2 linked regions of the Arabidopsis thaliana genome follow. The protein of the gene in region 2 purifies or fractionates together with the protein of the main gene of each other region. This does not show direct contact. Each region holds a gene or a part of one and is shown on either strand. Other genes may lie near its edges.

What was found. The genes of interacting proteins can lie anywhere in the genome.
Region 1: the proteins of AT1G11630 (region 2) and AT1G26750 fractionate together in Arabidopsis thaliana (co-fractionation; one large-scale study listed by BioGRID). This does not show direct contact.

What each region holds. Positions count from the first base shown.
Region 1 is NC_003070.9:9,245,073-9,248,961, reverse strand, and holds AT1G26750 (uncharacterized protein), read right to left. Parts: upstream 2,106-3,889; coding exon 2,011-2,105; intron 1,800-2,010; coding exon 1,677-1,799; exon of another isoform or gene 1,426-1,676; coding exon 1,323-1,425; intron 1,176-1,322; coding exon 909-1,175; 3' UTR 688-908; downstream 1-687. Other genes in the region: SDG35 (SET domain protein 35), read left to right, coding at 1-658; AT1G26740 (Ribosomal L32p protein family), read left to right, coding at 2,407-2,667, 3,078-3,151, 3,613-3,682.
Region 2 is NC_003070.9:3,912,218-3,916,235, reverse strand, and holds AT1G11630 (Tetratricopeptide repeat (TPR)-like superfamily protein), read left to right. Parts: upstream 1-1,770; 5' UTR 1,771-1,850; coding exon 1,851-3,068; 3' UTR 3,069-3,482; downstream 3,483-4,018. Other genes in the region: RBP45B (RNA-binding (RRM/RBD/RNP motifs) family protein), read right to left, coding at 343-808, 1,081-1,341.

The DNA.
Region 1 (3,889 bases), 5.3 Mb from region 2:
GTATTACGGTGTAGGGCTATGGACTTTAGCTTCATTCATCAACCACTCGTGTATCCCTAACGCAAGACGTCTTCACGTTGGAGACTACGTGATTGTTCATGCCTCGAGAGATATCAAAACAGGGGAAGAGATTAGCTTTGCTTACTTTGATGTGCTTTCTCCATTGGAAAAACGGAAAGAGATGGCTGAGTCATGGGGGTTTTGTTGCGGATGCAGTAGATGCAAGTTTGAGAGTGTCTTGTATGCTACCAACCAGGAGGTTAGAGAGTTTGAAATGGGTTTAGAGAGAGGCGTAGATGCAGGGAACGCGGTTTATATGGTGGAGGAAGGGATGAAGAGATGGAAGGTAAAAGGGAAAGATAAAGGGTTGCTGAGAGCATCTTATTGGGGAGTTTATGATGAGATTTATAACTCAGAGAGACTTATGAAAAGGTGGGGAAGGAAGATACCAACAATGGAAGTTGTGGTGGATAGTGTCTCTGATGTTGTTGGAAGTGATGAGAGATTGATGAAGATGGCTGTGGAAGGGATGATGAAGAAGCATGGAGGTTTCAGTAACATTGTGGAGATGGAGAAAATCATGAAGCTAGGGAAGGGGGTTTATGGCAAAGTGGTATCGAAAAAGAAGGCAATGAAGACTCTTCTTGGCATAGAGTAACAAGTTACAAATGTTGAAACTAATTGCTTGTAGGATCAATAGAGAGAGTAACCATTTTGGTTTTCTGTAATTCCTTGCCTCATGGAAGGAAACATCCAATGATATTATTACAAAGACATTCAAATGGAAATAACACTTGTTTTGTTGCAAAACATTTGTAGTCAAAGAATGTCATATATGAAAAAAGCCAGTTCTACAAAGAAATTGGATGAGTAGTGTGCATAAAAAGAAAACGATGATTTTGAGTAATTTATTCGTCGATCCAATTATCCTGATTAGCACTTCCTCCGGTTCTGTCTTGCAGCAACACATCTTTCTCATTTTTCAACTGGTTAACTAGCCTGCGGACGCTAGGAGTCTGGAAGCGATCCTTAGCGGATGTCTTCGATTGAGTTATTAACCCTTTCTTGGCACTAGGATACGGTTTAGGAGGTGGATCCTTATCTTGCATTACCGCAAGCTCCTTTAAGCGTTTGTATGCTTTCTTCATTTCCTTTCTCTCTGAAAGATATTCCATCTGAAAAATCATCAAAACACAAACTCAGCAAGTTCGAAGAATAACATCTCCCATGTTCAAAGAAACGGCATCAACAGCAGCGGTACTACGATTCATATCTATTCAAGTATCGTAGCTAATCATAGACTGTGAAAAGAAAATACGTACATTAGCTACAGACATGGCGTCACCCTCACTGATGCCATGCTCCTTCAATTCAAGTACCCGGCAACCATACACACGTGCTTGATCTGGAATAAATGCTGATATCCTAGGTAATTGAAGATGATGCAATGAGAGGGAGATAGATACAGAATGAAAAATGGTGAAACTCTCCCATTGAATCAGAATTTAAGAGTGACACGTGCTTATAGTAATGGGTTCAAGACAAAATTGTTTGAAATTAAACTTCTTTCTATAGTGATGCATATCAGAATAAGCTTTATGAAGAACTAACTCATAACATAATCATCAAACTATCTTTGATACAAATGCAGAGATATAAAAAGTTGAGAATTTTACTTGGCAGGGTCATCAATTTTGGTTCCAGGATGCTTATTAGCGAATTTACGAACGTAAGGATCCTCAGGGAGAACAATCTTCTGGATTTTTCCATTGGAGCGAGGAAACACAGGAGGTGGTGATCTGCCATTAAAACCAAATCACAGAACACTCATTTCAACAAAACCCTCAAAATCCTAATTCACAGATGCCAAAATCTCAACTTTTTGTGCGATTAGAATTCAATTGCATCCGAATTAGAAACCCATTAACGGATGATTCAATAAGGAAGTATCAAATTGATCAATCGAGCCAAATCATTTGGAGAAATAGAAATGGGAGAAGAGAGGGTTACGCTTCCATGGCTTTAAGCCAAACAGGCTCTCGTGTAGCTAAGCCACCAACAAGCCTCCTGGTTTTGGAAAGTAAATCACCTTTCATCCACGACATTGTTGCTGAGCTTCTTCACTTTTCTTCTTCGCTTGATCTGTTATTGTTTTACCAGAGACGACGAAGACACAAGGGTTTCAGAAATGGCTCGATTTGATAAAACCTCATGGTTCATGAATTAAACCGGGTACATCACACTCTAAATTACGGTCTAAAATCGGTTAACAGAGCAATTGTATGGTTCGTATGTCAAAACGCAGCCGTTTCGTAAATACATTTGCCTTGATAAATTTTCACCTCTTTTGGGTTTCTTCTACTAGTCTTCACTTCCGTCAGCTATAGCTTTGGAGAAACTGCATCAATGGCGTTGAGATTGACATCGCTAAAACGCGCCGCGGTTGAGTCCTGTCGCATTTTGGAAACCCGAAGCTTAAGTCATGTCGCTGCGATGCCTTCCCCCTTGAACGGAGCTTTTGATCGCCCGATTTCTATGCCGCCGCTGGTTTTACCTGAGTTCGATCAGAATCAACCGGGTTTGATCGAAGAAAAGAGCTTCGGGTTCGGGCTTCCTAGTTTTGCTTTTAATGGATCCATGGAGCTAATGGCTGTGCCTAAGAAGAAGGTCAAAGAACTCTCAGTCCCTTAATTAGTTTTCTCCTTTCGTTTTCCACTTCTGAAATGATAAAATTTCTTAGGGTTTTGATTTATTGTGGTATCTAGGGTTAGCTTTTTTGACGGAGTCAGGGTTTATCTAGGGTTTTAGGAAGGTGCACTATAGGACTTATTAGTTGATTATGCAATTGAGATACTAAGTGCTAGATTGCTTCTTCTATAGAATCTATCTAAGAAATGTTGTCTCTTTGTGTGTTTTTGAGTGTCCATTGTTTTTCCATTTGCTTGTGTATCTTTGGGTTTAAGTTGATTTGGTTCCTTACTTCCTTTAGGTTCACATGTGAATGAAAATGTGTAATTTTTAATGGCTCCTTGGAGAATGATAGTGTTAATTGAAGCTGTTCTTGATGAAACATGCAGATTTCTAAACACAAGAGAGGGATAAGAAATGGTCCAAAGGCTCTTAAGCCTGTTCCTGTGATCATCCGTTGCAGGTAAGAGATTAGCTTCTCTTCTTTTTCTTTTTTTTTTTGTCCGCAGATTAGCTTCTCTTCTTGTTTTATCTGTTTGATGCTTCTTAATATATCCATTAGGTTGAGTTTGGTATGGGTGTTTAGTTTTGAGGCTGTGATAGAAAAATTCTGTTAGGTTTATCTAGGTTGTTGTTGCTGCAGCAACAGCTGAAGAATAAATGCATATGCTTTGTGATTCATTGTCTCTCCTAACTATCACTTGGTATAAACTGCACTTGAGTAACTAGAACTGTGTATCGTTAACATGTTTGACGAAAGACCTACTTGTGTGCAACATGGTACAAAATATGAGTCTAGTTGTTCGGTTTTGGTATATGTTTGATTTAAAACTTCTTTTGTTTTCATGATCTCATTGTGAGGGCACTTGTATCAGAATTTTATATATGCCGCCAGTTTAAGTGCACACTCTTTTGTGTTTCCAGGAGTTGCGGGCGAGTCAAGCTGCCACATTTCTTCTGTTGCAGCGGTGAGCGGCTAAACCCTACTGAGTAAGGCAATTCGAACAACTGGTCATGGTTTCCAATATGATTACTCCTTGTTGGATATCAAGAGGATAAAATCTTGGCTTTCTTAGTAGTACACTAGAATGATAAAAGACTTAGTTGATGCTGTTTTGGCAAATTATTGTATGCTGCAAGATCAATATTCTCATGCTTCTCTTGACAAATTATGTTATTGTCATTGCTTGTTGCAAAGTGT
Region 2 (4,018 bases):
GACCTAAGCATGGGCACTCAATAAGGAGATAACCATTTCAGCTGAATATCAGTTCCAGGCCTCAAGATGATAGAGAGCCTCTTGACTCCCCTGCTTTGAAACAAACAGGATACAACAAGTGTTCTATAAGATTTCTATCTTTTTAAGTTTTTTAACAGAATTGACTGCGGCCTCAGCGGTAAATGTAGGATGCGGCTTTAGAAAAAGTAATGGAGTCATACTTAGCACAAGGCAGTTAACTAGTTCTTACTTAAGGCAACCTAATCACATAGATACTACAACACACAAATCAAGAGAATGCAAGATCAAATCAGTTCTAATGTGACATATACTTTACTTTACCTCTTTGACCAGTTACACCTTTCTTGCTAGCAGCGGGACCAATTCTCATAGGTCTAGTAGAACAAGGAACGCCATTCATCTCCGTCATAGCACGGATCTGTTCACTTTCATCAGAAAACCTAACAAACCCATATCCTTTTGTACGTCCAGTGACTCTGTCAATAACAACCTTTGCACCCTTCACTGACGGATAAGAGGCTCTGAACGTCTCAAGTAAGATATAATCCGTAACATCAGCAGCCAGATCACCGACAAATATCGTGTAGTCCGGTGAATCGTCTCGTTTATCTCCTGAACTCAATGATGCCCAGTTCAGTCTAAAGAGCTGATCAGGAAAGCTCGGGATAGGAGCGTTGTTGAATGTTTGTAGAACTCTTTCAGCAGCAGCATGAGATGCGAATTCAATGAAACCGTATCCTTCAACTTGACCGGTTTGCTTGTTACGAATCACTTTAGCAGAAACCATCTGCAAAATAAATACTGATAGTGTTAAACCAACTAGTCATTATATAACTAGACAGAACACTCATTAACTCATTGTCGGAAAGAGATTACATATTAAAAAAAATTCAAACATCTAAAGTTAATCTTTTTACACATCAAAATCAAATCTTTCAAATATAAAAGCGAGGAAACAATTAACACTAACAAGTACTTATCAAATTAACCTTAATCTCCTTCGAACAAACAATTAAGCGCGAACGATAAAGCGAAAACAGAGAGATCTGAGAATATTACCTCTCCGGTATGAGCAAAGCAACCGTAGAGGAAATTCTCATCCATCCAATACTGTAAGTCCCCGATCCAAAGAGTCCGGATCTCGTCAGCGGTCGTAGGCTGAACTGATGGCGGCGCCGCCGCTTGAGGATTCCACATCTGTGGTGGTGGTGGAGCAGCTCCAGCAATCCCGTAAGGTTGTTGGTAACCGTACTGTTGTTGCGCAGAAGGAGGAGGAGCGTGATGTGGAAGGATACCTCCGGGTGGTGGCTGCTGCATCATGATGATCGGAGAATAAGATAGAGAGAAAGAACTCTTTTGAATCTCTGACCGTAGAAAAATTGTGATGAAGAAGAAGATAACAAAACAATGCTAAAGATGAGAGATTGTTGATAACCCTTTGAGAAGGCGGCGGTTTGTAATAAAACGATATGTGTTTTACTATATAAATATCCTTTGGTGCTTGTAATCACAAGGGATCCGTGGCGCAATGGTAGCGCGTCTGACTCCAGATCAGAAGGTTGCGTGTTCGATTCACGTCGGGTTCAAACCCCCGGTTTAAACATGATCCTTAACTTTTTATTTAACTTTTTAAAAAATATCCTAGATTCAATCGGAACCGTCCAAGTTGCTGACTAGTCATAAAATCAACGGATGATATGAATTATGTATATGATTTAAGTAAACCATTGAAATTAAAAATTTTATTTTGTCAAACCCCTAAACCGGTTTAAACCTCTTCTCTCTCAGCCGTCGTCTCCATTTCTTCGGGGAAATCATGAACCCTAGTAATGGCGTTCCTCTTCCGCATTCGAACATCGGAATTTATACTCCAGAAAGCGACTCAATTCCGATTGAAGTCTTCTTCTTCATCTATCTTCACACTAAAATCTCTCACTAGCAAGCAGAAGAAGAGCCGAGATACTCTCTCCCTTCTCAAATCCGAGAATAATCCTGATCGAATCCTCGAAATCTGCCGATCCACTTCACTCTCACCTGATTATCACGTCGACCGTATCATCTTCTCCGTTGCGGTGGTGACACTAGCGAGAGAGAAACACTTCGTCGCTGTATCGCAGCTTCTCGACGGTTTCATCCAAAACCAACCCGATCCAAAATCCGAGAGTTTCGCAGTCCGTGCCATTATCCTATACGGCAGAGCGAATATGCTTGATCGATCTATACAAACATTTCGCAACCTCGAGCAATACGAGATCCCAAGGACGGTGAAGTCTCTAAATGCTCTTCTTTTCGCTTGTTTAATGGCTAAGGATTACAAAGAAGCGAATCGTGTCTACCTCGAAATGCCGAAGATGTATGGCATTGAACCTGATCTCGAAACTTACAATAGAATGATTAGAGTCTTGTGTGAATCAGGTTCAACGAGTTCATCATACTCCATTGTTGCAGAGATGGAGAGGAAATGGATAAAGCCAACAGCTGCTAGCTTTGGTTTAATGATTGATGGTTTTTACAAGGAGGAGAAGTTTGATGAAGTGAGGAAAGTGATGAGAATGATGGATGAATTTGGTGTTCATGTTGGTGTAGCTACATACAACATTATGATTCAATGTTTGTGTAAAAGGAAGAAATCTGCAGAAGCAAAGGCGTTGATTGATGGGGTTATGTCTTGTAGGATGAGACCAAACTCTGTGACGTATTCGCTTTTGATTCATGGGTTTTGCAGTGAGGAGAATTTGGATGAAGCTATGAATTTGTTTGAGGTTATGGTGTGTAATGGATACAAGCCTGATAGTGAATGTTACTTCACTTTGATACATTGTTTGTGTAAAGGAGGGGACTTTGAGACAGCTTTGATCCTTTGTAGAGAGAGTATGGAGAAGAATTGGGTTCCGAGTTTTAGTGTCATGAAGTGGCTTGTTAATGGACTAGCAAGTCGTTCAAAGGTCGATGAAGCAAAGGAGCTCATTGCGGTAGTTAAAGAGAAGTTTACCAGAAATGTGGACTTGTGGAATGAAGTCGAAGCTGCATTGCCTTTGCCTCAGTGAACAAAGGTACACATAGAAGAAGTCATTCATCTTCGATTTGACATGAGGATTTGAAGTTTTTGAGATTGGTTAGTTTAGCTGAAATCATCTGTCAAAATTGAAATGAAAGGGGATATAGTTTGAAGAGAATCTTGTCGTTGAGATTAAGAAGCTATCTCTCTAAGGATTGGTGCTGGTGAATTATCAATTTTCTTACTGAATTTTTTTGAACATGTTGTATATAAATGGAATGTAACATTTTTCAATATATCGGAAACGATGAGCCTAATCGCTTCATGGCCTTGCTGATGAATTGAATCTCGAATGTCTTTTGTTGGCATGGGACCATGTTAGCTTCATGAAAATGTCCATCAGGTTAAGCTTATGTAAGACCAAAACTCTTCATTATAATGATATTTACATTCTTCTCCAAAACAAAAAAATAAAAGCATCATATCTAGCCATTCCAAATACTGGAACCAGCTTCTTCTTCTACCTATACCCACCTCTGAAAAGCCCGGAAGCCAAAGCAAGCTAGGAACATAACAGCAACCACCGAGTGTACGACCCATATCAGTGTTGTATTCAACTTTTTGGCAATCTTGCTTATATCCCTCAATGTAGATGCTAATATACCCGCTTTCGATAAATACCACAAGCTTACCATTCTTCTCATTGAAGAAACTTAAATATCTACAACCATATATCGGAAGCCGATCTGTTATAGCAACTGCCACCAGCCAGCTCCAATGCAGCTTCTTCTTCTTCTTCTTCACCCATAAGTGTATGTTACTTGTTAAGCCGCATTCAAGTAACAAAGAGAGTTGATCTCTTCTGAAAATCCCTAAAGAAAGATTATTCATCAAATAAGATAACTCACTCGAAAGATAAAAAGGAGGACGAACCAAGGGCTCAAATCTCTCTTTTGAGAAATCAAAACTCTGTACTGAAACGGGTTTATGATTTGACTT